Linked DNA regions of Elephas maximus indicus. The protein of the gene in region 1 interacts with the protein of each later gene in a pairwise test. Links are inferred from orthologs where the notes say so. Each region holds a gene or a part of one and is shown in the gene's direction. Other genes may lie near its edges. The genes, in order: UBE2L6, RNF144A, RNF125 and DTX3.

Region 1 (7,247 bases):
CTCATATTTACCTTGTGTCTTTGGTGTTCTTCATTCGCTTTTGCTCCAGGTGGGTTGAGACCAATTGATACATCTTAGATGGCTGCTTGCTAGCTTTTAAGACCACAGACGCCTTGCACCAAAGTGGAATGCAGACCCTTCTTTTAATACATTTTGTTATGCCAATTGATCTAGATATCCCCTGAAACCATGGTCTCAAGATCGGCGTCCCTGGTCCCTGCTACTCTGGCTTTTTAAGCTTTTGGCTGTATTGAGAAAATTTCTTATTCCCTGCAACCTTTTGTCATCTACAAAGATGTGCATCTCTTCTACTCATTGTTAAAACCCCAAGTCCACAGAGTAGGTCCCTTTGCAGTGTCAGCACAGGGCCTCACACAATAGGTGCTCTTAAGTGTTGTAGATTGTATGAATAAATGACAGGGACTGGATCAGAGAGAGGAAGGAAACCTGGTGGCGCAGTGGTTAAAGCACTCAGCTGCTGGCTGAAAGTTTGGCAGTTTGAATCCACCAGCCACTCCTCAGGAGAAAGATATGGCAGTCTGCTTCTGTAAAGATTACAGCTTTGGAAACTCTATGTGGCAGTTCTACTCTGTCCTGTAGGGTCGCTATGAGTTGGAATAGACTAGATGGCAACAGGTTTGGTTTTGGTTTTTGGATATGTATGTATGTATGTATAGAGAGACAGAGAAGACAAATGAAATGGCTCATGTGTTTGTAGAGGCTAGCAAGTCCCAAGCTGGTGGGGTCAGGTGTCAGGCTAGAGGCTTCTCCTGACTCACATAGCTGCAGGGCTGACGAAACCCATGATTGGCAGGTAAGACCGCAGGCTGCTGAGTCATAGGCTGCAGAGGCTGAAGAATCCCAATATCAGTAGGCAATACTGCAGGCCACTGGCTCAGATCCCTAGAACCAGAAGTCAGATGATGATAAGCTGGATGCAGGATTCAGAGCAAGAGAGTGAGCTTTGCCAAAATATCCATATATGGTATGCAGGCCACACCCCCAAGGAAACTCCCCTTTCAACTGATTGGCTGCTTGCATCAGATCACAAAATAGAGGATGATTACATCAAATCACAAAAATGGAAGGTAACTACATCATTACATAACTGCCAAATCACATCATTATATAAATTCCAAACCACTGGGAATTATGCCCCAGCTAAGATGATACGCAACCTTAACCATCACAAAAACCCTACAGAGCCAAGTTCTACTCTAACACAAAAGGGGTTGCCATGAGTTGGGGTTGCCATGATGAGTCAGAGTCACTATGAGTCCGAGTCACCTCAAAGGTAACTGCTTTTTAACTCAGAAAGATATGTCATTGCCCAAAGGCAGAAAGCTCAGGAATCTCTGTTCCTCCCACCCAGCACCCCCTGGGCAGGCAACTGGCATCATTTAAATAATAATAAGTATTATTATTATAACTATCGCTTATTGCCCACTGTTCTAAATTCTTAAGTTCTTTACAAGTATCAAATTATTGCCCCTCACGTCTACCTGTGAGGTATATACTATCATTAGTCCCATTTTACAGATGAGAAAACAGAAGCATAGACAGGTTAAGTACTCTGCCCAAAGTTATTTAGCCAATAATGGTGGAGTTGGGATTCCAACCTGATTATTTATATCTTGGGCTTGCTTATAATTTTTGAAGCTCCTCCACTTCCATGAGCTTAGCTTTTCCACAGTCCTGGGAGGCAGGTAGGTCCACTATGAAGGGGTTAGGAAGGTTCCATGGCCCACCCAAGGCCATACAGTATGTGTGAAACCAGAACCCAGGCTCCTGGCTCCCAGCTCAGGGTTTGTTCTGACAACAAAGGTCCACATTGTGCAAGGATGTGACATATGGGTCACCCAGCTGTGCAGGACGGAGCTGGATCCATACACATATATACACACAATGCAGACACATATACACATTCACTTCCGGGCAGGCAGGGGCACTGGGGTCACAGCCTGCCTGCAGGAATGCAGCGTTTCTGGAATAGAAGGGAAGGAGAAACAAAGGGCATAGGCAGAAACTTTTGCTCCACATCATGAAACCACTTTCAGTTTCCATATATACTGCCATCATGTCTTTAATCAGGCTGTTCCCACTTCTAGGAACACCCTCCTCCCATGTTCTCACTCCAGCTAACCTATCAGACTTCACAACTCATTTAGATTTTTAACTCTTCCAGGAAAGCTCGCTCCTCACCCCAGGGCTGGGTACAGTGATGGCCCTCCTCATTTCCATAACACCATATGATTGCATGTATCTTCATGTTCACCTCTTTGCATTAAAAACACAGAGGCTACATTCCCTCCCCCCGTCCCTATAATCTGAGAGCTCCTTAAGGACAGAGACCTCACTTTCTTACTGTGGCATCCCCAGTCCCTAAGGGCAGTGCCTGGCCCATGGCAAATACTGAATATTAAGTGTTTGTTAAGGAACCAGCCAACGGCTCCTGGAGAGAAAGACCTGGTGATCTGCTCCTATAAAGACTACAGCCTAGAAAACTCTATGGGGAGCTCTACTCTGTCACATGGGGTCCCTATGAGTCAAAACAGACTTGAAGGCACTTAAAACAGCAACTGAGAAGATTGACCAGACATGGGTTCAAATCCCAGCTATTGAATTCAGTTTCCTCATCTTTAAAACAGAAATAAGTCTACTTGCTTTAGGGGATTTTAGACAGTGTCCTAATCATTCCTGGCATATAGAAGATACTCAGTTCAAGTTTGTCGAGTTAAACATCGTTTGTCCTGCAGATACATCCCACATCTGAGCAGAGAAGTCAGTTGGTACCAAGACAAAAACTGTGTGATACTGTTATGGATTAAATTGAGTCTGCCCCCAAAATATGTGCTGGACTCCTAACCCCCATGCCTGGGGATGTAATCCTGTCTGGAAATAGGGTTTTCTCTGTTATGTTAATTAGACCATACACAGTACAGTGGGCTCTAAATCTAATCACTTCTGAGTTACAAAAAGAGTACATGAGATGCAGAGAAATGGGAACACCAGGAAAATGGGGGACACGCTATGTGTCAATCATCTATAAGCTAAGGGACCAAGGAATGTTCGGAAATACCTACAAGGAAGGAACTGATACCACCAAGACCCCGATTTGGACTTTTAGCCTCTAGAACTGTGAGGAAATAAATTTCTGTTCTTTAGAGCCACCCACTGTGGTTAAAGCATTAGGTAATTAAAACAGGTACCTAACTCTGAATCTGGTGCTCAAAATATGCCGATTTCTTTCCTCATCTGAGCTGAAGTGGGGGGCTGGGAGGGAGGAGAAGAAGGGCTCAGAGTCTAGGAGATTCTGGGAGTCCCGAGTCTGGGAGGCTCTTTCTCAGACACTGCTGCTTGGTACTCAGGGGCTGCTGTTTCGCGGTGGGCTCAGATTCGGCTGGGGCAGGGGTCTCTGCCCTTGCCCAGAGGGGTGGAGACGCCTGCTGTGTATGGGGGCACATAGTAGGCCCCCAGTGTGTAATGGATCAGGGATAATATAAGGGAGGCTGAGTAGCTTCCCCTGGGGGAAGGCTCCTGAAATCCGTCTTGGGGCTTTCCCACCCAGCTGTTTCCCAGACGAGCATGAGATCGGCGCTGATGAAATACTAAGCCTGGGTTTTTTGGTGGGCAGTCAAGGACCGAATGAACAGGCGACCGACTCGCAAAAACAAGAGAGAAAGGGTCCAAACAGCGCCTCCTTGTGGGGCTTTTCACCAAGCACCCTTCTGGGAGAAACATCCTTGTAGGTCCGCCGCCGAATGCTGGACAGCACAAAGAACCCCAAACTCTCATTTTTAGAGATGGGGCACTGGGCGCAGAGAGAAGAAGGGTCCTGTCCAGGCAGGTCCAAGAGTTTGCTAGACGAGGGGTTTAGGGCAGTGGTCTGACGGTGGAGGCCGCCGGGGGACCTGTCGCGGAGCAGAGTTGCATCCCTGCATTTACTTAGGGTGAGCGTGTATTCAGGACGACGAGGAGCCGGCTGATGGAGAGGAGTCCCTGGGACAGTCCCGGGCAGAAACTAGCACCCGGATGAGCAGACCCCAGCCCCGCGCTCTGCGCGCTCACCGCCTGATGCAGAGCGCCCCCTACCGGGACTCAGAGACCAGGCACGCCGCGCGCTCCAGGGACCATCCGTGCCCCCCAACAAAGATCGCGAGCTGTCCGGATCCGAGCGCGCGGCTCTGAGGCCTGGCCGGGTTCTCCCCGCAGGGCCCCCTCTGTCTTCGAAAAGCCAGTGGGGAACAGGTCTGCTGCGTCCGGCGACCGCACGGGCGGAGCGGAGCGTAGGCGGGGCTCCCGGAGGTGGGGTCCCCGGGGCGGGGCGCCTAGTCTCCTCGCAAGGTCGGCTGGAGTCCGCTAGTGCCCCACACTCGGTTCCGAGATGTCAGCGAGGAAGCGGGTGGCGAAGGTAACTGCGTTTGGGACACTCCTTCTCCCCCGCTCCTCCTCCCTCCATCTCTTTCCCGATTCCCTCCCCCCTCCACCCCTTCCTCGGCTCCCTGCCCCCTCCGCCCCTTCCCGGGCTCCCTACTCCCTCCATCCTTTCCCCTGCCGGCTCTCCGAGCGCTCGCAGTAGTCCAGGTACTGGGGCCGGCTGAATGCCTGTCATCTCCTGCTCCCTAACCCCAGGGGAGAAGGGGGTCTGCGAGGGGTCAGGGAAGTGTTTTTGGGGGGAGGGGGCATATGGGGTGTGGTGTCGCTGGTTCCCTGAGCCGTGCTGGGGGTGGAGTGAGCCGATCGGATTCCCCCCCCGCCCCCCCAACTGGTTTCAGTTTCACTTCTGCCAGAAACTTGTGAGAACATTTACGTGCGTCTCTGGTGCGGGGAGGGTTTCCTGGCCTCATCCTGGTGGCAGGCGCCCTGCTGTGGGTGGGGAGTGGGCTATGCACAGAGATAGGGGACAAGGTACTTTCCTCGGAATAGTCTATGGCCCGTCCTCTGGGCTGATACCTGCTTGACTAGGGTCCAAAGCAGCATGGGGTGCTGACCCGGAGTAGGTCAAAGTTCCCTGAGCGCTCTGTGGAGAAGATGCTGAAGCAGAGCAGGGAAGGCTCCTGGAGACGGTGGCGCGCGCCTGCCTTGTTCCTTGTTCTGCAGTTGCTGTTCAATGCCTACTGTATGCTGGCCCTGTTCTAGCTGGTAGGGAGGCAGAGGTGAACAAAGGACACAAATCCCTGCCTTCCTTGAGCCTTCGTTTTAATCAGGGACACAGTTTGAGATGAGGTCTGGAAGGATGGGGATGGAGCAAATTCCACCAGGAGGTGGGAAAATCCTGGGTGGTTGGGGGGGGCTGGGGTGTAGCTGGAGATGGAGAAAAATCCTGGTGAAGTGGATCTGACACCCCCAGACTCTGAGTTCCTCTAATCTGCAGAATGGAGTGGAGGGGCTGAGGGGAGTGCCTGCTACCCCCAGCCTCTGAGAAGAAGAGGGTCTCAGTCTGGGTCACCCAGAGTAGGCTCAACCCAGAAGAACTGAAATCTGAAGGGCGACTGCTAAATGGAGCAGGGGTTTTTCCAGTAGGAAAGAGATGGAAACCAGTATTTATCACACTGGAGTTCCTGTGTGGTGCAAACTGGTTAACACACTTAGCTGCTAACAGAAAATTTGGCAGTTCAAGTCTACCCAGGTGCCTTAGAAGAAAGGCTTGGCAATCTACTTCCCCAAAAATCAGCCATCGAGAATCCTGTGGAGTACAGTTCTGCTCTGACACACATGGGGTGGCCGTGAGTTGGAATCGATTAGATGGCAGCTGGTTTTATTTATCACACTGGCATCATTACGTGCCAGGCAGTTTACATCAGTTGTTTCATCCAATTCTCACAGCAACCCTGTACTCCCATTTTACAGATGAGGAAATTGAGGCTCCGATAAAATAACTCATTTATCCAGGGTCACTGAAGAAGGAAGAGATGGGGCTGGGATTTAAGCTGGGTCCTCAGGACTCCAAACAGGCTCTTTCAATGGTCACTCTACTTTCATTTTCTCTTCCTCTAAGTCAGGTGATTTCTTAACAGGCCTCAGGAAGGAGCCTTGTGTCCTAGCTCAGGTTTCATCATCCTCAGGTGTTGCGAAAGCTTTGGCAGAACTCACCTGTAATAGATAAAATCCGAAATGTTCCTGTTAATAGTAAAGTCAGGGAAAAATGTCCATTCCAGAGCTTCTCTATTCACCCTTGGGCTTCATTGTTGCCCCCAAAATAACAGATGATACCGGAACCCGATTTGTAGTAAAAGATGCTTCTAGTTTGGGGCAAAAAATAAATGAAAAGTCATAGAATCTGGGTAGAAGGTGTGAGAAGCAGTGTGTTGGAGTGAAGGGGCGGGGAACAAAGGCGTGTTTATATTTTGGGAGGGGGAAATAGAAAGTTCGGATGGTCTACAATGTTAAAGGACCCCTTCTCAACTGGGAACTGGGTTTGGGGAACGTTCTCTCTGCCCTTGTTTCCACCAGAGCTTCTCAACCTCCTCACTATGGACATTTGGTCGGATAATTCTTCGTTGTGGGAGGTTGTCCTGTGCACTATAGGATGTTTAGCTGCATCCCTGGCCTCTACCCACTAGATGCCAATAGCATTCCTGCCTCCCATTTATGGCAACCAAAAATGCCTCCAGATATTGGCAAATGTTCCTGGGCGGGGGTGTGGAGGGGGGGGGCTCCGTAAAATTTCCTGTAGTTGAGAACCAGTGGTTTATACCCATTTGGTGTTTCACAGACGTATGACCTGCCCTTGAATGTCATTTTTATGTTGTTTTGAAAAAAATGTTCTGTCATCAGCAAAGGGCGAGAGGTTGCTTGGTCAGATCCATTTGAGAAGTACTGCATGCTATGGGCTCACGTTTTGGGGATTCACAATATGCAATAACAAATTAAAGGCTCTGGAAATCCCTGCAGTAAGGAAACCTGTTTAGCCCAGTGTTTCCCAAACATACTCATCCATGGAACCCTTTTCCTGTAATAACTATTGACTTTCCATGGGACATTTGCCCTAATTGGGCCTGTCTTGGTGCCCCTCAACTTCTCTGCGTGGTGGACTCCTGTTTATTCTGCATGGCCCGGCTCACCATGTGCAGCCCCTGTAAGCCTTCCTGTTCCCATCTCTCTCCTCATTAATGCATCCACACACGTCATTCTCGTAATTGCATTCATGTTTCCTCCATTACTCCATGGTTGTTCTTGAGGCTTGAGCCATGTCGTGGTCCCTAGAGCATGCTCAGTCAATGGCTGTTGAGGTCATTGGGTGATGG
Region 2 (7,260 bases), on another chromosome or scaffold:
CATCAGTGTCCTCTAGATGCTATTGTTGAATGACTGGATAAATGAATGTTCTTCTTCTCTTGTACTTTCTTTCTTGAAGTTTTGGTTGTCTTCCTTAAGCTCTTATTCTTTGTAATTTTGACCACATACTTCGTTGTGATAGTAATATAGAGTTGCTTTCTCTTCCCCCATAGATTCTAGATAATAATTAGAACCCTGTGTTTTTTTCTGTGTCCTGTATTATGTGGATGCCTACACACGCTGAGGAGCCCTGGTGGCACAGTGGTTAGGAGTTCTGCTGCTAACCAAAAGGTCGGCAGCTCAAATCTGCCAGCCATTTCTTGGAAACCCTATGGGGCCGTTCTACTTTGTCCTATAGCGTCATTAATAGTTGGAATCGACTCGCCAGCAATGGGTTACACACACCAAAGAGGATATTTAAGAAGTGTAGCTTGGGAAAGAGAGAGAGGAGGCCTTCAAGGAGAGGGAGGCAAGAGTGTGAACAAGGGAAGCTTTCCCAAGAAGACCCCGAGAGTAGCAGGGGCCTTTCCATTGTTCCTTGGCATTGCCCTGGGGAAGTGGTACAACCTCACCGGTTGTGTGGTGTGTTGGGGAGCTGTATAGTTTTGACCCTGGATTTAGGAAAAAAAAAAAAAATGTGCCCAAAGCCTGGATAAGGAGCTGTATGCAGCTTGCTTTCAAGAGACCACAGATCCTGAACAAAAAGACTATCAGTAGACCTATGATGGGTTAGGTAGGAAAGGTTTTATTATATATTCCTAGGATGATGTGATCCCCTAGATTCCTGTATGCCCTTAGGGAGGGAGGCAGAGTCAGGACAGTAAAAAAAAAAAAAAAAGAAGAGTAACTGACATTTAATTTCTAGCCGTTCTCATGAACTAAGGAATTGAACTGAATTTTAGACATCAAAGAAATGTGAATTCAAACTCTGGTCTATTTTAAGCCATGACTGCGAATCTCATGCTTCTCTCGATTTTGTGCCTCAAGGAGAAACTTCAGGATGTGTTTCCATTTTTCCAGCCTCTGGGCCATTTACAAAGGTACTAATTCTCCGAGGTGTTTACCGTTGAGCTCAGAATCTGGCCCATAGTACATAATCAAAAACACTCTTGTTCAGTGAGTGAATAATGAGTCACACTTCCCTTAGGCACAAACACACAGGAACAATGGATGAGGCTCGCCATGACAAACCTCTGGGTGAGATGGTTTCTTTGCATTCATGGCTGGCACAGGGTGCTGTGTGGTGGATGAAAATATCTCTGAGAGACACAGGCAGATGGTTGTTGGAGAAAAAGAGGACAGTGGCCCAGGGGCACAGCCCAAAGTAGATGATTACATTCATTATTTGCCGAGTGTTTATTATGCTCAAGGCCCTATAGGGGAATGCATAGAAAAATGATGGCGTCACTGCTCTACAGAATTTTAAAATCTAATCATCCAAGAGCAAATACCCAAAGCATGAAGTGGTGTGTGACAGATGCCATAATCAACACAGAAATGAACTACATCTTACACTGTTCAGATATTTGGTGAAGAGGAAAGCAAAGTTGTCTTGCGTAGACTTCCTAGAGAAAATCGTACTTGAGATGCATTGTTTTTGAGCTGCTACAAGCTGTACTTTCAATGATGAAGCACTCTCTCCCCAACAACGATCATACCAACAAAGACAAACGAACCAAACATGGGAATTAAATCACGGAATTTACTGCATCAGCACTTACCAGTCTGAATTATGCAATTAGGTAAGGGGTTGATTTTCCACATCAACCTCTTCCTCTCAGCTCCAGATGCTGCTCCCCAGTCCCCCAACTTGATTTCTATGTCTCTGTTTTCCACATGAATGTCTGAATCTCAATTTATCATCCAGTACGAAGCCATCGTGTAATTTGCATTCTGTGTATCTGCACAAGGAACCCTGGTAGGGCAGCGGTTAAAGTACTCAGCTGCTAACCAAAAGGTCGGCAGTCTGACACTCCATGGGAGAAAGATGTGGCAGTCTGCTTCCAGAAAGATTTGTAGCCTTGGAAATCCCATCGGGCAGTTGTACTCTGTCGTATAGGGTCAAGGAGTCAAAATGGACTCCATGGCAAGGAGTTTCCTCCCCACTCCTTGGTGTATTTGCAGTGATCAATCCATTCATTCATTTAATTATCCATTTATAAGTAAGAGTCATGCTAGTACTTCCCTAGTAGTGGGAGGTGTGAATACAGTTTATGAAGCCCAGACCTTAATGGTGAGCTACTTTTATCTTCTAGTGAGAGGATGAAGTCCCAAAATGCTATTGTTAGGACCCCTCCCATTGTGTATTTCTCATTAAGAGTGAAACTTCTACAAATAATTTGACTGAAGCTGAGGCATAAGAAGGAAAGTCCTCATTCATATCTTTGAAGAGAAGAAATATTTATCTGAGTAACTTTTTAAAGCATAAGATACAAATGCACACATATAAATATATATAAAATGGTGTTGGTGAAGAGTATTGAATGTACCATGGACTGCCAGAAGAATGAACATATTGGTCTTGGAAGAAGTACAGCCAGAATGATGCTTCTTGGAAGCCAGGACGGCAAGATTTCGTCTTAGGTACTTTGGACATGTTATCGGGAGGGACCAGTCACTGGAGAAGGACATCATACTTGGTAGAGAGTCAGCGAAAACGAGGAAGGCCCTCAATGTGATGGATTGATACAGTGGCTGCAACAATGGGTTCAAACTTATCAACAATTGTGAGGATGGTGCAGGACCCGGCAGGGTTTCGTTTGGTTGTACATAGGGTCACTATGAGTCTGAACCAACTTGACGGCACCTAACAACTATGTGTGTGCGTGTAGCTCAGGAAGACAAATTATGCAGAATTTCAAGATAGTTAAGAATCTTCTAGTTTAACTGTTGGGAATGAGATAAATAGTAGTTAAGGATCATGGTAGAGTCCTAACAGTTTGCTGGTTATGTTGATAATTGCATTATGGGTATCTGGCTTGTTTAATCCCTCCCAAACTCTCTATGCTATACATACTATTACTACCTGCATTTTCCAAATAATGGAGGCACAACGAAGTTAAGTAACTTGCTTAACTGAGGTCACCAGGCTAGTAGATAGTAGAGCTGTAAATTAGCCCAGGCAGTATGGTGGCATGTTGTTAAGGAAGGAAGATACTATAGTGAGTTTTCCCTATGACTCTGGAGAAAACAGTCTATGGGCTGAAGGAGGGATTCTTTCCTATACATACATAGGTATTGTTCATATATTTATATCTGAAAGGCATGTAATTTAGCACATGTATAACTTCCAACTACTGGAGGGAGTGGCAAAAATATATCTTACAGCAACTCTCGCTTCACAGATCTTAGACTTTGTCAAGCTAGAAGCCTTAATAATTAGGACTGAATTGCTACAGGTGAACTTCAGGTATCCAAAAGCCTGATAGGACGTCCAGGTTGCCTCCTATTCTCCACCCATCAGAGAAACCAGGTAGTGGGGTGAAAAGAGATTTCATATTTAGTTTAGCAAAGAAAGTCCTCAGCCTTCATTAGCAACGTCCTCATATGACAGAGTGTGGAATTGAGGTTCTGAGAAGCCAAATGGTTTATTCATGTTTTTTCTGGTCTATGGCAGAGCCCGGGGCTCCAACTGCCCAGCTTCATGATCTTTCCAGCACCTGGCTTAGAAGAGTTCGTGTTTGGTTGGGTCACCCATGTCTTTCCCAGTTCGCTGGTATTTTCCCCCGACACATCTGAAATCAGCGGGCCATCTTTTGGAGACCGCTAAAATAAGAAATCGCATTTTCATTTCCCGGATCATCAGCGGTCTTTATCATGATTTGGTTGATTCATCAGCTTTGCTAAAAGGCCCGGGGTGACCAGGCAGCCTGGCACCACGCCTGGAAGGCCAGGACTGAAAGTTAGCCGCGCTCAGCCCGTGCCGAGGCCCCATGGGCACCAGAGGGCGCTGTGTCCGCCCAGGGCGGGGGCCTTGGCCCTTTTCAAAGGGAAACGGCTACCTCCAACGTTTCCCAGCGTCTTTGTGTGCCGATTAGCGGCCCCCACCTCTCGCGCCGCAGATCCTCCCCTCCCCTCGCTGGCTTTGCAAAAAAGGGGTGGAGGGTGGGGATGAAATAAAGAGCAGCAGCCTTGCGTGGCTCAGGGCTGGCTGCGCGGGGCGCGCGTGGAGGCGGCGGCAGCAGCACCGCGGGAGCAGGCGCCGGGCCGCGCGCACCCGGGCAAAGCCGTCGGAGCCCCGCGCTGTCGCCGCGGCCGAGGAGCCGAAGCCGGGCTGCTTCCGAGAGCCCTGGCGGTAGCAGACCCGAGGAAGCCGCCGCACGGCGCCGGGACCAGGTAGGATGACGCGAGCGCGTCCCCTTTGTGTCGGCATCGGGAGCCGGACCCAGCGGGAAGGAGGGATGTGGCTTTGTGGACCCGGCCTTCTGGGGCTCCCGCTGCCGCCGTGTGCCCAGCCCTGGTCCTCCCGAGTCCACATCTCGGAATCCACTGCGTGGCCGGAGCCGCTGGCCCGGGGCGCTGGGATCGTGGGGGGGCTGGAGGCGGGTGGAAGGTCTTTGAGGCGGGGACTCGCTGTCTCCGCGCAGACCTCCACCCTGACCCTTCGGTGGTCCGCTTGGGCTTGCATTCGCGCCTCAGAGCCGTGACCACTTTGAGAACCACGGATCCACCCCGCCGTCCACCCACCCCTAGCCTGGGCGCCAGTTTGCAGCGATGCGCCTCTCAGCGCTCCCGCGCTAGGGTCCGGCTGGCGAGTTGGCGCGCAGAGTGCCCTCTCTTTGTTGAAGGGCCCCGCCCGCAGGCCCCAGAGCTGGAGGCATCGGGTCCGCGCTAAGTCTTCCAAAAGGGTGGACCCAGCCGAGAGGGAGGAAGAGGCGGGGAAGGTCAGGGCTGAGCCAAGTCGGCTAGGGGTACCTCTCGCCCTCCGGCTTTGAACGTCCTCCCCAGGCGCCTACGATGACCATAGCTATCAGCGTCTCTTCCTACCTCCACACCTTTCCCCTACTGGGTGGGTGCGCCCTGCATCTCTTCCCTCATCTGTGCCGCCAGGGCAGTTGGTTGGCCCGGAAGTTCCCTGCAGGTCTTGCAGAGGGTTGGGATGCTGGTGTTACCCCAACCCCACCCTCCAGCAGCTGCTCCCAGCTCTGCTACACGCTAGTTCCCAGCTATTCGTTTGCTTATGCAAGATAAAAAAAGGGATTGCTTAATGGTAATGGGGGGAGGGGTTACTTGTTCTACCTTTTGTTGGGCTTTTTTAAGCCTTCTTATCCTGATCCCAGGACAGGGATCAACTGTCCTGGGATCAAACTCAAAGTTTCCTCCCTCTCTCACTCTATGTCTCTCTCTCTCTGTTCTTGTCTCTCCTGTTTTCCGGTGAATAATTAAATGTATATATATCCACTCAACATGAGTGCCCTGTGCCAGGCCAAATAAGGCCCCAGGGAAGTATCCCAAGTGGGCTCCCGGCTGCAATAAATGCCTGCACTGGAGAGAGACCAAGTGTCTTGCGTTCAACAGTTATGGGAGGCAGTTTCCTGGGAACGCAACGTGAGGGGTGAGGGGGACTTGTATGGGTGAATCGGGGTAGAGGCTGCCCTGAAGGTGAGAGTTTATCGAGCAGATAGAATGTTCATAAATAAAATTCAAGGCAGAAAGTAAGGTGGTACAGATGAAGAGTTGTGGGCAGGAAGGTAAGCACAGTGCTTACTTTGCTTACCAGGTAATCTGTAGTGAACAATTTCACATTTTTTCACCACATCAAAGATTCTGCTTCTAGGTGTGGCTGGCATCTGTCTCTCCCCCAACCTCACAGCACCTTTTTAAATTTTTTAATTTACCAGCCCTGACAGGGACAGATGACCCAGTGAGCAAGGTAAGCACTGGTTTACTTGTGCCTGCTTCCTAAGCAGAGATGTGGTGAAACCCCTGCGAGTGTGATGAAACTCACGTGAAATTGTTCACTAAAGTAAGCACAAGTAAGCCTGTGTTTACCTTGCTTATTGGGTCATCTTCCCCTGACTGTGGAAATTCCAAAGAGGGAGTTCGGGAGAGGCAGGAAGAGAAGGGGGCCAGGGAAGACCCTGTGAGGGAAGTGGTATTTGAATCAAAGACTGAAGGTGGGTCAGATCCAACATGGGGGGAGGGGCAGGAGTACCCCAAGTGGAGGGAACTAGCAGAGCAAAAGAAAGGGAGGAAAACACCAGCATACACCAGTGAACGTTGCCTTGGAGCCCAGTTGTTTTTTTACCAAATGTTTGCTTGATTGTGTTCTCTTCCACAGTACTGAGAGAAGTGACCTTGTGTTTTTCTGTTTTCTAGTGCCTTTTTAATCTTTATTCTAAATGTATTTTAATGAGTGGGGAGGAAATAATGGCTACAGAGGTCGGATTGGGATAAGTCATGAAGCCTTCAGAGTGATTGTTTCAATTGGGAAAGGACCAGGCATGGCTCAATGTATGGAGCCTGGGCTTCAGAGTCGGACACGCACTTGGCCTTGGCTTCCACCTTTATCACTTGCCAAAGGGGCCACACGTGATTTGAAGACCACTTGAGAAATTGGGATGCAGATAACCTAATTTTAATAGGATGCAAACTTTGCAGATCCAGCACAATTTGAGTTTTGAAATTTATGGCGTTGCAGAGGGCCTGAACCCAGTGCCCGTACCCGTACAAGGGAATAGATGGAGCCCAATTCAGAAGCTCAGCGGGAGGGGGACAAATCTGCAGTCATGGAGTGAATCATGAGACAATGCCAGGGAGGTTTGGAAAACCTGGGGAGCACTTTGAGATTTATATATTTTATAAATGTACGCCAGCACGCTCCAGTCTGATGGTTTAATTCCTGTAGGGAAATCTTTATTAGAGTGTGGTGATGTGGGTTCATGAAAGGCCCTTAGAGCTTACTTAATTAAAACTGCTGAGGTTCAGGGTGGTGAATGTGCCACACAGCCAGGCAGTGGCAGGGTCAAAAACTAGGACCTGTGTTGCCTGACCCTTAGAACACTACTTTTTCCACCGTGGTTGACAGTTTAGACCCATTGTGGACCTTGTTCAAACCTCTTCCCTCTTTGGAACTTTTCTCTCTGGTAGTAGTTGCAGGGAAAGAGAATGTGTCCTCATGGATTGAGAATTACAGATCTAGGTGGGTTACTATAGATCAGAGTTACTACAGGCAGAGGCCATGAGTCCCAGGCCTCACAAAGTGTTTGTGGCTGATCTCAGTCTGGCATCAGCTTTTCAGCTCTCTCTGGTGTTCTTTCT
Region 3 (7,851 bases), on another chromosome or scaffold:
CGGTCATCTTTCTGCCATGAGGGAGACACTACAGACATAAGACTGAAGTCTTGATGACATTATTTTTCTGTTAAACCAGCTCTGGAACTGCTTACCCCTGGACTAATTTACCAAAATAAATAACAAATATCCTATTGACTAAGTCACTTTTAGTTAGTGTCTTAGGCCAGATTCTCTAGAGATGTAAAACCAGCAAAGTATATAAATATACATACAGATTTATATCAAGGAAATGGCTCATACGGTTGTAGAGGCTGGGCCATCCCAAGTCTGCAGGTCAGGCTGGAGGCTTCTCCTGATTCACATAGCTGCAGGGGCTGGTGAACCCAAGACTGGCAGGTCAGAGAGCAGGCTATGAAAACCAACAAATGCCAAGACTGGCAGGCAAGACAGCAGATAAGCTGCTGGCTCAAGTTCCAAGAACTGGAGGTCAGATGAACAGGAGCCAGTTACAGGATCCACAGCAAGCAAAAGCCTGTGGGCCTTGCCAGAAAGTCCACCTATATCGGATGCAGGCCACATGCTCAAGGAAACTCTCTTTCAACTGATTAGCTACTCACAGCAGGTCCCATCATGGAGGTGATCACAATAGATCAAATCTCATCATGGAAGTGATCACATCATCATACGACTGCCAAACTATATCATTACTGCCAAATAGAATTATGGCCCAGCCAAGTTGACACACAATTTTAATGATCACAGTTAGATATCTATTGCCTTCTACCAAAGGTATTCTAACTGATTACAGTTATTGGAGGAGTCAGATTGTGCAGGACATTGTAGATCACGTTAAGGACTTAGAATTTAACCTTAAGAGTTACGGAGAGCTATTAAAGATTCTTAAGCATGGTGTAACATATTTCCTTTTCAAAAGATTGCCTTAGTTGCAACGTGGATAATAGAGTAAAGGGTGTCAATAGTGAATGCAGGCAGAACAATTAGGAACTATTAGAATAGGTCACACAAGAGACTGTGATGATTTAAAATAAGAAGTGACCATGGGAGTGAAGAAAAGTGAACCAATTCAAAAACTACTAAGAGGTATATTACAGACAGAAAATTGTGATTGTGATTGATTCAATGTGAGAGAGAGATAGGACAAAAATCAAAGATGACTCACAGGTGTCTGGAATGAGCTACCAGGTGGATTGCAGTGCCATCACTCAGAATTCAGTAGGAGCAGATGAAAGGCTACAATCATCAGTTCATTATTGGACATGTTGATCTTAAAGTGTCTAGGAAGCAACCAGTGTAGTGATTTCAAGTAAGAAGGGCATTTGAGTGGCCTGGGGTGAAGACAAAGGCTTCAAGTTCTCTATAATTTAGATGGTAACAGAATCCATGGGATTTTTGAGATTCTTAGGGACTGAGTGAGGAATGAAAAGGGAGAAGGACCCGGGGTAGAATCCTAGGATCACTAGCACTTAGCCTTTCCATGAAGAAGGCGATGCCAGCAAAGGAGACTGCAAAAGATTAGCCAAAAAAAAAAAAAGGAAAGCTAAAGAGTGTTTCTACAAGGAGGGAGTGGTCAACACTGACAAATATAGTTGAGAAGTAAAGCACGAAAAATACTGAAAAGAGGCTATCGGGTTTAGCCACACATGACGGTCACCACTGATGATGAAGCAGTTTTTGGAGAGATGGAGGTAGAGTGGTGGGTTCAGAATTCAAATTTATCTGGATAAGCAGTGGATAATTAATAAATCAAGATACAAAAGACAGATAATCAGCTCAAGAAATTTGGCCTTAAAGAGTATATAGGGCAGGAGCTGAGGGACATGCTGGATCAAGGGAGAGCTTTTGTTTTTCTTTTAAAGACAGGAGTGATAGTCTTTACTTCAGTCCTATATCCAATTCATCAGCAAGCCCTTTTAGGTCTTTCTCCTAAATATATCCTAAACCTGTCCACCTCTCTCCTTCTACCCAGATATCTTGTTGGTTTGAGCCATTATGGTCTCTTAACCATGGTCTCCTAACTGGTTTCTCTGCTTCCATTCTTGCTTTGTTTCTGTCCTTTGTCTACACAGAAGTCATATGTATAAATCAAATCGTGACACTTGGAATAAATTCTCCAAGCTCTTGGTCCTAGCCTGTAAGACTGGATATGATCAGAACCTTGACCACCTCTCCCCACATCTTGACCACATCTCACCCCATCTCCTGCTTTTATTCCCCATGCTCCAGTTCCCTGTGTCCTCTTTCTGTTCTCTGTTCCTGCATCACTCACTGTTACCAGTGCTTGGCAAGGTTTTCTCCTCAATCTTTGAATGGCTGACTCAGTTTCATTATTCATGGTTCTGCTTAAACGGCATTTCATCCAAAAAGTTTTCTCTGACCCTTGTATCCTTTTTTCCATTCTCATTCTCTGTTTTATCTTTTTCATAGCTCTTATCATTTTCTGAAATCCTGTTCATTTATTTATTTTTTAATTACTATATCCTCTCATTAAAAGTAAGCTCTGATTGGGGGAAAGTGATATACAGGATCATTATGTATAATTATGTATTTTATGCATTGGGTATTATTTCTGACAATTGCATGTGAATATATAATTATCTCAAAATAAAAAGTTTTTTAAAGTAAATTCTGAGGGAACTGGGATTTTGTTTGCTTATTCAGAACTGTGTCCCCATCATCAGAATAGAGTGCCACGGGGCACTAAATAAGTCCTTGGTGAATTAATGAATGAATGATATGCTCGGTCATGTTTTTAAAAAAAAGAGAGAGAAGAAAAGAAGAGAGAGTAAAATTAATAGCAGGAGAAAAGAAGAGAGAGTAAAATTAATAGCAGGAGATCCTGAGCCAAGGAATCTGAGGATCACAGAATTTAGCACTAGAATTCCAGAATGGGATTTGAATCCAGGTCTCCAGAACTCCTTCCTCTACTCCATGCTTGTTGTTGTTTGTTGTTAGGTGCTGTCCAGTCGGTTAGACTCATTGTGACCCTATGTACAACAGAATGAAATACTGCCTGGTCCTGCACCGTTCTCACAATCGTTATTATGCTTGAGCCCATTGTTGCAGCCACTGTGTCAATCCACCTCATTGAGAGTCGTCTTCTTTTTTGATGACCCTCCACTTTACCAAGCATGATGTCCTTCCTCCAGGGACTGGTCTCTCCTGATAACACATCCAAAATATGTGACAGTAGAAGATGGAAGGAGTACACAGAGTCACTATACCAAAAAGAATTGGTCGGCGTTCAGCCATTTCAGGAGATACCGTATAAGCAGGAACCAATGGTACCAAAGGAAGAAGTCAAAGCTGAACTGAAGGCACTGGCAAAAAACAAGGCTCCAGGAATTGACGGAATACCAATTGAGATGTTTCAATAAACGAACGCAGCACTGGAAGTATTCACTTGTCTATGCCAAGAAATTTGGAAGATAGTGACCTGGCCATCCAACTGGAAGAGATCCATATTTATGCCTATTCCCAAGAAAGGTAATCCCACCGAACGCGGAAATTATTGAACAATATCATTAATATCACATGCAAGTAAAACTTTGCAGAAGTTCATTCAAAAGCAGCTGCAGCAGTATATCCACAGGGAAATGCCAGAAATTCAAGCCGGATTCTGAAGAGGACAGGTAACCAGGAATATCACTGCTGATGTCAGATGGATCCTGGCTGAAAGCAGAGAACATCAGAAAGATGTTTACTTGCGTTTTATTGACTATGCAAAGGCATTCAACTGTGTGAATCCTAACAAATTATGGATAACAGTACGAAGAATGGGAATTCCAGAACACTTAACTGTGCTCATGAGGAACCTGTACATAGATCAAGAGGTAGTCCTTTGAACAGAGCAAGGGGATACTGCCTGGTTTAAAGTCAGGAAAGGTGTGCGTCAGGGCTATAGCTTATTCAATCTGTACGCAGAGCAAATAATCCCAGAAACTGGACTATATAAAGAAGAACAGGACATCAGGGTTGGAGGAAGACTGATTAACAACCTATGTTATACAGGTGACACAACCTTGCTTACTGAAAGTGAAGAGGACTTGAAAGTACTTACTGATGAAGATCAAAGACCATGGCCTTCAGTATGGATTACACCTCAACATAAAAAAACCAAAAATCTTCACTACTGGACCAATGAGCAACATCATGATAAACACAGAAAAGATTGAAGTTGTCAAGGATTTCATTTTACTCGGATCCACAATCAACACCCACAGAAGCAGCAGTCAGGAAATCAAAAGACACCTTGCATTGGGCAAATCTGGTGCAAAAGACCTCTTTAAAGTGTTGAAAAGCAAAGATGTCACCCTGAAGACTAGGGTGCACCTGACCCAAGCCATGGTGTTTTCCATTGCCTCCTATGCATGCTCCATTAACGGAGCATTGATTAGATGACCAAAGTAGTGATTGGCACTGTCTTAGGAGCGATCAATCAGTCATACAAATAATTATAATAAGCTACAAAAACTGATAGGACCAACACTTGTGGATGCTCCCTGGTTCCCATAAAGGCATGGCCAGGCAGCATTTTCCTTAACTTACGATAGTGGGGATGTATGTCATAGCCTGGAAGGTACACTGCAGGCCAAGGTCCTCCTCTGCAGCTGAGGTTTCAGGTTTCAATCCTCCCAGGACCACGAGACATTGCAGCTCGTGTGCTGTGCAGCTGCCGCCGCCACCTCCTCCATCACTTAACCCCCGGCAGCTAACGAAAGATCATTTCAGACGCGCTGGCGCTTTCTCTGTCTGCCTCTGGCCGAGGTTGCGCGCAGCGGCGGAGGCTGGATCTAGGCTACGCGAGCGAGCTGGGGGCGCTGGGAGGCGGTGATCACAGCTGGGTTGGGACTTCCTTCCTCCATCGCAGAACAACAAAACAACCCGGCTGCAGGCACTGAGCTCTTAGCAGCTGCCCGGGCGAGAGGCGCTGCAATGGGCTCCGTGCTGAGCAGCGACAGCGGCAAATCCGCGCCTGCCTCGGCCACCCCGCGGGACCTGGAGCGCAGGGGGAGCCCCGAGCTGCCAGTCACGTCCTTCGACTGTTCCGTGTGCCTCGAGGTGTTACACCAGCCTGTGCGGACCCGCTGTGGCCACGTGTAAGTGCCGGGGTAGCTGGCTTTGCTCTCCTACCCGCTGGAGAGAGCAGGGTTTTGGGGCGGGGGGGGAGGGGCCTGGGTATGGGGGGTTTCTTTTGCCAGAGGCAGACGCCGCCGGAAGAAACCTGGACCTATCTGGTGCAAGACACAAGAAAATGCCCAGTCGGGAGTGACAGAAATTCGAGAGGAAAAAAAGCCATAATCTATCGGGCCCGGCAGCCTCTTCCCGAAACCCAGGTGCAGAACCCCGGAGATGGAGATTCCAGACCAGGGTCACGCCGAGAGCCAGCGCTCGCTAGCTGGGGTGGATGGTCTTGGCTGGAGAACCAGAGCCTGTCCCGGCAGCGAAAGCGAGCGCGCAGGACTACAAGCAGCAGGGACCCCCAAAGCACAATTATCCCGCTGAAGTAGGTTGAAACAGCTGTGTCCTCCTCTCCCCAGGGAACTCTGGCCGGTTTTGTGTGGCTGGCTGCGTGCACGTGTTCCAGAACGCTCACTGAGGCTTCTGCGCAAACAAAAATCTGTGCAAACTGTCTTTTTACCCCCACCCCGTCTCCCTTTCTCAACACAGACACCAGACAGACCCCTGTCGGGTCGTCAAGTCAAACTGAAACGCCCAAGTGACTTCCTGTGGTCATTAGAGTTTAACCAGACCTGTTACGGTGGGGCTTGGGGCTTGAGTATTAGCAAGGAGCCAGTGAATGAAGCCGCTTAAAACTCAACGACAAAGTGAAAGATCCTAGACTACCTGCTTTACGCACACCTCGCCAAATCAATAGACAGTGTAGATTAAAACAACTTTAAAAAAAAATGACGTAATGTTTTACTTAAATTCGCCGTTAGCGCAAAGCATCATTTTCTAAGAAGAGTTTAAAAACGAAGTCCCTATATAAAATTGTAACGTTCTTAATGTGTGTTTGAGTAACGAGTAGCGGGAGTTGTATCTGTGAATTTGTTTTCTCCGTTTACTTAAAAGATGTTTTTTTCCCGTGGATGGATGGATGGGGGCGGGGGGCAGGGGAGAGGTGAACAGAGCAAGAACGGAAACCCACTGAATGTCTTCTTTGGACTGCTGACTTACTGTATAGTCTGATGAAGCGTCAGGGCAATACCGCAGTGGCTAGTAAGTGCTTTGGCCTTAACAGGAAAAGGGGGGAGGGGGACCATATTATAAAAGCAAGCGCAAAAATGCTTTTAAAACGACCTCGGTGATTCTTGACACTTAACAGCCTTGTACCTGAGAAAAGCAATTTTGACCACAGAAGAGCCCATCAGAGAACCAGAGAGAAAAATATGCAGCCCACACAATGTTTACATCTACAGTGCCCTGGGCCTTATTTTCTGCCTGTATTTTTCGGGCCTGTTGTTTCAGGTTTGTATTTTGAACCCAGTGCTAATCTACCTCATTTGTGATTACTCGTGTGGTTTCCCAGCTGTCCAAATGTAGCTTCTTGACATACTATCCAAGGGTCAGTACAGAAGTCAAGATGTTGTCTAACACCATAAAATATATTGATTAGTTCAGGGCACTAATAACCTAAGAATAACTACATTTAAATTTAAACTGTATTAGCATTAAGATTTGAAAAGTGTACCATGGATGATGCACAATAGGGCATCAAGTCTTGGAGATTCTTTTTTAAGAACTGAGATGGGCATTTTTGTTATTTTAATTATCTGACTGGAGATTGTTTTCCCCAGTTTGGATTTTGAAGTTACAGTTTGCAGTGTTTTTGCATCTGCTTGGGTTTTTTTGGTTTAAAGGATAATATAAATTTGCAAAATGTTAGATCTTTTGTTTAATCCTTCTCTTTGTTGGAGTGAATAGGAAACCAGCAACTGGAAAAATAGTCATAAAATAGCATAATAAGGGCTGGACAAATTGCCTTCCCTCACTTTACTGTTCTTTGTTTTGACAAATCTATGTCCATTGTTCTGGCCGTGGGCAGAATTTCCATAGTCCTCCTTTTGGCAAACTTACTTGGATGCCTTCCACTTTAAATGTTAACCAGAGTCCCTTCGGCACTGGAGATGGTGAGGGCTGTTAACACCATTTGTACTTTGGAAATGAATTATTGTATTCCATTGACCTCAAATTGGAAAATGAAGAAATGCAAATAAAACCTCTCTAATTTATTACAATGTATTGAAGCTAGATTTCCAAACTTGTTGAACTAGGTTGTTTATGCTAATTTCTGTTTTAAAAACCTATTTCAAGTCAAACAAGTGTAATAATGATGACAACAGTACCTTGAATGAGTATATATATAGTACCTTATTGTAACCTGACTGTTCCAGGTCTGCTTGGCGTGGCCAAAGAGATACGAAACAGGTGAAAGCAAAAGAAGCAGCTTTATTTGGTTGGCCAAGCAAAGGCGCACACCAGGACTTCTATCGCCAAGATGGCTTCCTGAACAATGGCTTAAACAGTATTTATTAGGGGAAGGTTCCCTGGGGAAAGGAGCAAGGTCATTGATTGGTCTGGCCCAAAAAAAGGCTTTCCTGGGGCAGTTCCTTTGTCTTTGCTTGCTCAGTCCAAAAGTGGGGGGAGGGTGTATGAAACCGGATCTGGGGCTCGGACCCCGGGCTTTGAAAGTCTTCCTCCAATCTTGGGCCAATAAAGTTTGGCTCCGACTGGTAGGAGAAAAGTTCTGGGGTCATCCAGAAGACAGGATTGATGGTTCTTCACATGTCAGGCAGCCAGATTTGGTCTTAACTTGTTCTGTGGTCTGCACACCCCAGCCTCTTGTTTTTCTTATCTTGGGCAGGAAGTTGGCCAATTGCCTAAAAA
Region 4 (6,883 bases), on another chromosome or scaffold:
GGGTGAGAGATCCTAGAAATTTTAAGGGTGGGGAGGGCTGTCCCTGGGAGACAAAGACCAGGGTGGTTAGCTTTTTAAAAAAGATCTGGCCAGTTCCTGGGGCAAGGGAGTTGGAAATGTATCTGCTCTTCATTGTTGGTTTCCCTTGCCAGGGGCCCCCCAAAAGGAGGTGTATTTCATGGGTCTCATTGACATCCTAACACAGTATGATGCCAAGAAGAAAGCAGCTCATGCAGCCAAAACTGTCAAGCATGGGGTGAGGGTTACCCAAAGCCTTTCCTTTTCTGTATCATCCTCCTCTATCAGGAGCCACTGGCTTGAGTGTTCTTTGGGAAGAGAGAGAGCAGTGGGGTGGTAGCAAGATGAAAGGTTGGGTATGGAGGGTGGGGAATGGGGAGGGGTGGTGGGGTGGCCTGACACATTGTTCCATATTCCTCTCACAGGCCGGGGCAGAGATCTCTACTGTCCATCCTGAGCAGTATGCTAAGCGATTCCTGGATTTTATTACCAACATCTTTGCCTAAGAGGCTGCCTGACTCCTTGGTGACTGCTGCTTTGTGTTCAAGGTGGTGGGATTCTGAGAGGCTTGGAGGAATTGGGGATATTCTGGCCAATACTTCTTCTCTTCCTCCTTTGCTAAATTCAGGCTGCAGGCTCCATCCATCCAGATAACTCCCATTTCATTGCATTGGCTCTTCTGGCCCTCAGAAATACATTGTCGTTTTTTCCCTTTCCCTTCCTGCAACAAGTCCCTTTGCTTCTTTAGGGTGTTATTGTTAACCCTCCCAAGTGCCTTGACCTTTGTAAAATGTCCTGTTGTTTCTATAAAAGAGGAGGAGCTGAGGGAACAGGGTTGTTTGCTGTCTTCAGAACCCGACTGGACAGATGGACCTGGTTCAAGCAACTACTCTGGATGCATTTCGCTGTGTAGGATGAACTAAGAGTGTCTGGGTTTTGCTGATAACTTTATAGAACTCACTGTGGCATGCTTCTATCCCAGTAGACCCTGGGATGGGGAACTTTAAAGATACAGATGTGGGTGCAGGCATATGCACATATGATGAAATATGGCCAATCTTGTACACAGAGGTGAGGTGGAGAGTGGTCAGTAGGCTGGGTCCTCATGGAGGTGGGACCTAAGAGGACTTTTGTGATTATGAAGGGAGTTGCAGAGGATTTCTGCCAAGGAATGACCACTCTAATCTCTTCCTTCAGCCTACTTCCACCCCCACCCACCTGTACTTCTGGGTGCAGAAGCCCAGAGCTGGCCAGAGTGTTGAAGCCTGGGTGAAGGTGTTTTAACTGTTTCTGCCCATTACCAAAGCCTCACACCCCTTGTGGTGTTGGAACCGTTGAGTGGGTGTGTGGCCAGTTCTAGAGGCTGGGATGAAATGCCAGGAGTGTGAAGTTCATTTCCCATAGTAAGCTTTCTTTCTTTCTTTTTAGCTATCCTTGTGGTTTATTCCCAGCAGAAGGGAATTTCCCCACTTGGGTCAATCCTGGTCATTTCAACAGGATGGAGGTCTCAAGTGTGCGAACCTCCCCTACTCCCTGGAGGTGTGTGCCTAGCACGCTTCCTTTCCCCATCCCTCTCAAACCCTTTTCCCCATTGGATTTGTCATTCTGTTCTCTTCTGTCCTTACACTGCTACTGTGTCTCCCAGGGGACAGATGGCCTTCTTTGCCATTTTTACTCCACCCCTAGAGAGGAGTCAGAGCCATAACTCAGTCACCGCTCCCCCTCCCAACAAGATAGTTGAGTTGATGCTTGACATTCTCAGAATATAGAGGACCCTAATGAGATAAGTTGTCCCCTCCCCTCCAATGGCTTTGGGGCTAAGGCAACCATTCTTGCTGTTCTCCATCCCCCTTGAGGCTTGTATATTTTTCTAACATAAAGATGGGCACCTGGCTTGTGGAGATGCAAGTTTCTTTGCTCTGTATCTGGCTGGACTGATCTGTCTCACAAGAAGTCATAAGGGAGAATCCCTCTCTTCCCTCCATCTTCTGCTCCAAAGGAGAAAACAAGAGGAATCCGCAGTTGGAGCTCCTATAGTATCTTCTCTTCAGGGGCCTGATGCATCTTTTTCATTCCAATCATCTACCTTTCCCCTGTTGAATGCAATAAAACTCCATGACACCAGCAACTGTTCTTTTGAAATGGGTTTTCTGACCATGTGGCTGATGTATCATGGGCAGTATGGTCTTCATTTGTTGCTTCTGTTTTTCGTCTTTTTTGTTTTATTAATTAATAAAAAATGTGTATTTACTCTTTATTGCGGTCACAATATAAAAAATAAATTATTGAATCCAAATTCCTTCACAGAAATGCCTTTTTTTTTTTTCCTTTCTTTTCTGAGGAAGCATACTCTTAGGGGTGCAAAGACTAGATGAAAAATTCTGGCCTTCAGCATGTGGGCCCTTAACTAAGGATGTGGATTTCTAGACAGATGGCTGGGAACTTAAAAGGTTGTATGGGGGCACTGGTAGCATGGAGATAGAAAACTGTTTTTCCTTCAATTTCACGGCATGGAGTTTAGCCCTATATAGAAGGGCCAGAGAAAACAGATGATGCAACCCCCGCTCCGACCCCCGCCACCAGGGCTCTGGGCTTGTTCACACTCAAAACTATGTTAAGGTGAATGGGCTTCAGCCCACAAGCTAAATTAAAAGAGAAACTGAATTCAGCGCTCCTCCAGCCTCCCTGGGAAAGATGATCTCTGCCTGGAAGGGCAGGAAGGGTCCTGGGAAAGTGAAGGAGAAAGTGGCCAGCCCTCTAACCTAGAGGGGGAGGGGAGAAGGGGGTGGATAAACAGAGGTTGTTGCTAGTCTGGGAGATCCAGTACTTCTTGGCTGAGGAGGTCTTTTGGCTGGCAGAGAAACCTAGCTTGATGTGGCCCCAGGGAAGTGAATTGGGCCAGGGGCGGAGACTGCTCTGATGTGGGAAACAGCAGAGCTTTTTTTTTTTTTTTCCTTTTGAGAGTTTTTTAACTATTTGAACCATAGGCCTGAGGCCACCACGACCCCAAGCCATTTCTTAAAAAATATATCCACTTCCCATACTGCATCACACTCCCTATCCCCACTTGCGGAAAGAGAAAAAAATCTGAGGCACTTACCAATACCCAGCTGGGAGCAGGTGCGGGGAGGGGGTGGGGGGCGTCTCTCAGACGGTTACAATCTAGGAAGAGGCAAGAGATGAGAGGATGAAATCGTTTAGGACTGGGGTTTGTTTATTTTAGAACAAATGCTTTTCTTTTTACTATGATTCTTCTTCCCATCCCACATTGTTCCTCAAAGGCCCTTCTGGCATAAGGATTTCAGAAACCGCTTCCCTCCCCCCACCCCATCCCTATATACCTAAACCGACGCTCCCCACCCACCCAACCACCACTAGCTCAGAGAAGCTGCCATGCAGCTGGTTGGGAAAGAAAAGGGAAAGGGCTCCTCCCTACAGGGGTAAATGAGAAGCTAGCGGCAGCGTTTCTAAGGGATTTAACCTCCTACCCTCTGTTACACGACGCCACCCTCTCCCTCCAAAGACTGGAAGACGCCTCCATTTTTGTTTTGGGGCGGAGGGACTGGGGCCCCTGGATTTAAAGAGTCAACGGAAACGGTGATTATCACCTGTGAAGGGGAATGGGGGTGCAATCCTCCCTTCTTTCCTTTCTCTCAGTCTCACCCCCTGCAACCCTCCCCACCTTTTCGGGGTCTCCCCCCCTTGTTGCTAAGGCCCGGACCGTCATCCCAGCAACAGCCTCAGTCATGTGACCGGCAATGGCGGCGCTGACAGGAGGTAGGTGAGCCCGGCGTCCCCCACACCCACCGCGCACCCCCCAGACCCCGCTCTCTCCCCTCTCGCACCCCCCGCTCCCCTGCACCCACTCCTTCGCCCTTTCCCTTTGGTACGGCTCCGGAGGACCCCTCCACGCCCCGCCAATCCTCTTTTCACCATCCTCCAGCCTTGGCCTCCTTTTGGGAGGTTCTGGGGGCCGCGATCGGGCCAACATGCACCCCCGCCCACCGGTGGGTCTCCCGGGCCTCCGGCGAGAGAGGGGTGTGGGGGGTTAGTTCCGGGTCGGGTCTTGGTGGAGGCCGTGGGGGGAGGGGTGGAGCTGCCTCAGTGGATGCCCCCAGGGACCCTTGCCCTTTCTGGCTGCCCCTGCCACCAGCATCTATCTGTCTGGAGGGAGGGACTGGCCTGGTGTCCGGCCTGGGTTGCTCCAGCGGAATCACAGATCCAGCATAAACTGTGGCCCCGCCTCCCTTTTCTTTGCCAGCAGGACTTGGAGCTAGGACACCTAGGTCCTGGGTCCTCTCTGATGGAGGGGGTGGGTTTCCATTCTGGATAGACAGTGGGGGCTGAGGTCTCAGGGTTCGAGTTTCATTTTCTGAGTGTCGAGGTGAATCTGGCCTTGAGGGAACTATGATGGAGGCACAAACGGACAGCTGCTCCCCTTTCCATCGGTCAAAGAATTGAGGTCACGTTAATGGTTCCTCTTTCCGTTGGAGCTGCATTTGAAGGTGTGCGAACAGCCCTGTAACTGAATATGACAAGACTGGAGGAACATCAGGTCCCTCCAGTAGAGCCCCTGTGTGAGCTCCACCCCTCCTAAATGCAGGCTAGAGAGCTAAAGGGCTATGCTGCGTTGGGTGTGCTGGGTTTAAAAGGTGACAATGAGAACTTTGTTATTGCAGGGGCTGTGGCCACTTTGTTCACATTCCTAACAGACTGCAACAGAAGGGACTGAGGTTAGGGCTTAAGGAAAGCTCTCTGGCAGTAGGGGCTGGATGATTTGGGACTGTGGAGCAGGGTGAGGAGTTAGGGAACCGAGGAAATACTCCTGTCCCTATGATCTGAAACATGTGGCAAGAAAAATCTCTGTGTAGGCTTTTCCCTTCCAGACTATTACCTTGAAGCTCTCATAGCTGGAAAGAAAAGATGGAAGGTTAGCATGATCAGTCCCTTCCTTACCAGCTTGAGGAGGGGCTGTGGATGGAGTCAGGCAGGAGAGAGGGAGATGAAATGGAAGAGGAGTTTTTGTTTTGTTTCTGGGCTGGCTGGTGAAAATGTTAACGTTTGCCACCATAACACTTTATTCTCCCCTAGTTCTGGTCAGCTGAGTGTGGAAATAGAGCGATTTCTGCTGTCACCGTTGTCCATGGGCTTTCCAGGTACCTGAGGGAACCTCAACTTTCATTCTTAAATTAGTTCTCTCCATTCCATGTTCTAAGTAATACTATGCGCAGTAACCTATACTCAGGTTCCTGTCTTTGCTACATGGGCTGCTGGGTTGAGGTATGGGGGTACTGGGGGAAGGAGTTTCTTACTTTCCTTCCTTTTCCTTTCCACCCCTCCAGGTCATATAACCCACAAGTAGGGAGCAGGGAAAGAGAGAGAGCCTGCATGCCAATTCTAAGCTCTTCAGGATCAAAGTGAGCAAAACGGAGGGTTGAAAAGTCTTTCTCCCCTTTAAAGAGCCCATTTTTCACCCTGAGGGTGGGGCGGGAGCAATTGTTTCTGTGATCTTGGGAGAAGTGTAAGGAGAACCTAGACTGATTGCTTGGCTAGGATGTTAAAGGAACTTTCTTGTTCTTCAGGGGGTGGTGAGGTTGGAAGATATGGGAAGATAGAAAATGGACTGGGGGGAGAGTTGGGAGTTGGCCTTGAGAGAATGGGGGGCAATATAGTATTTGGAAGGAACCTGAAGTAGGAGGCATTGATATTTGTCAAATGGGGACCCCCCACCCTGAGTCCCTTTCACCTTGGGGGCAGTGTCGTTCGTCCTGTCCAGAATGGCAGCCTGTGGAGGCACCTGCAAGAACAAAGTGACTGTCTCCAAGCCTGTGTGGGACTTCCTGAGCAAGGAGACTCCAGCGCGGCTGGCCCGGCTTCGGGAGGAGCACCATGTTGCCATCCTCATAGATGGCGAGACCTCTGACATCTATGTTCTCCAGCTTTCCCCACAGGGCCCACCCCCAGCCCCTCCCAATGGGCTCTATCTGGCCCGGAAGGCTCTCAAGGGGCTGCTAAAAGAGGCAGAGAAAGAGCTGAAGAAAGCTCAGAGGCAGGGGGAGCTTATGGGCTGCCTGGCTTTGGGGGGTGGGGGAGAGCACCCAGAGCTGCACCGCCCAGCCCCACCCCCTCTCAGAGCAGCTCCACTCCTGCCCCCAGGAGCACGGGGGATTCCTCCTCCTCCCCCTCCCATCCCACCCCCTCTTCCTCCCCGCCTTCGGGAGGAGGCAGAAGAGCAGGAGAGCACCTGTCCCATCTGTCTGGGGGAGATCCAGAATGCCAAGACGTTGGAGAAGTGCCGGCACTCATTCTGCGAGGGCTGCATCACACGGGCCTTGCAGGTGAAAAAGGCCTGCCCCATGTGCGGCCGCTTCTATGGGCAGCTGGTAGGCAACCAGCCCCAGAATGGGCGGATGCTGGTCTCTAAGGATGCCACCCTGCTACTGCCCAGCTATGAGAAGTACGGCACCATTGTCATCCAGTATGTCTTCCCGCCCGGTGTCCAGGGGGTAAGAAGACCACAGCCTGCCCTCACCCTTTGGTTTCCCCCAAGCTTGTTCTCTGACCTAGAAAGACTGAGTGATGGTGAGTGTGTTTGTTAGATGTGATACAGTCTTGCCATTTCCCAGCATGCCTTCCTACTTAGTGCCTTGGGGCTAGGAGGTCCCCTTGAGGCCCAGCTTTTCCATCCCCATGACCCCAAGGCACACATGAAAATCAAGTGTGATGAGAGAAAGGAATTGACTTCTATTTCCTTGATGAACCTGGATGTTGACAAATATTCTCGGCAGGGGTGAATTTTGTGGAGATCAGGCTCCGGTGCAGGCAGGCACAGTAGGGAGGGATCTGATCATCCTAACAGACCTCC

What was found.
Region 2: the proteins of UBE2L6 (region 1) and RNF144A interact in a two-hybrid assay, tested with the Homo sapiens proteins (2 studies listed by BioGRID and IntAct). The link is inferred for Elephas maximus indicus from reciprocal best matches to the Homo sapiens genes UBE2L6 and RNF144A.
Region 3: the proteins of UBE2L6 (region 1) and RNF125 interact in a two-hybrid assay, tested with the Homo sapiens proteins (3 studies listed by BioGRID and IntAct). The link is inferred for Elephas maximus indicus from reciprocal best matches to the Homo sapiens genes UBE2L6 and RNF125.
Region 4: the proteins of UBE2L6 (region 1) and DTX3 interact in binary tests that used the Homo sapiens proteins (3 or more experiments, as listed by UniProt). The link is inferred for Elephas maximus indicus from reciprocal best matches to the Homo sapiens genes UBE2L6 and DTX3.

The regions. Positions count from the first base shown.
Region 1 is NC_064825.1:118,989,279-118,996,525, reverse strand, and holds the start of UBE2L6 (ubiquitin/ISG15-conjugating enzyme E2 L6), read left to right. Parts: upstream 1-4,235; 5' UTR 4,236-4,384; coding exon 4,385-4,411; intron 4,412-7,247. UniProt on the Homo sapiens protein: Catalyzes the covalent attachment of ubiquitin or ISG15 to other proteins. Functions in the E6/E6-AP-induced ubiquitination of p53/TP53. Promotes ubiquitination and subsequent proteasomal degradation of FLT3.
Region 2 is NC_064830.1:15,958,381-15,965,640, forward strand, and holds the start of RNF144A (E3 ubiquitin-protein ligase RNF144A), read left to right. Parts: upstream 1-4,247; 5' UTR 4,248-4,335; intron 4,336-7,260. UniProt on the Homo sapiens protein: E3 ubiquitin-protein ligase which accepts ubiquitin from E2 ubiquitin-conjugating enzymes UBE2L3 and UBE2L6 in the form of a thioester and then directly transfers the ubiquitin to targeted substrates.
Region 3 is NC_064829.1:39,483,158-39,491,008, forward strand, and holds the start of RNF125 (E3 ubiquitin-protein ligase RNF125), read left to right. Parts: upstream 1-4,841; 5' UTR 4,842-4,896; coding exon 4,897-5,060; intron 5,061-7,851. UniProt on the Homo sapiens protein: E3 ubiquitin-protein ligase that mediates ubiquitination and subsequent proteasomal degradation of target proteins, such as RIGI, MAVS/IPS1, IFIH1/MDA5, JAK1 and p53/TP53.
Region 4 is NC_064822.1:117,496,103-117,502,985, forward strand, and holds the start of DTX3 (probable E3 ubiquitin-protein ligase DTX3), read left to right. Parts: upstream 1-3,863; 5' UTR 3,864-4,007; coding exon 4,008-4,025; intron 4,026-5,109; coding exon 5,110-5,174; intron 5,175-5,360; coding exon 5,361-5,435; intron 5,436-5,775; coding exon of another isoform or gene 5,776-5,794; coding exon 5,795-6,524; intron 6,525-6,883. Other genes in the region: PIP4K2C (phosphatidylinositol 5-phosphate 4-kinase type-2 gamma), read left to right, coding at 1-2, 153-256, 444-524. UniProt on the Homo sapiens protein: Regulator of Notch signaling, a signaling pathway involved in cell-cell communications that regulates a broad spectrum of cell-fate determinations.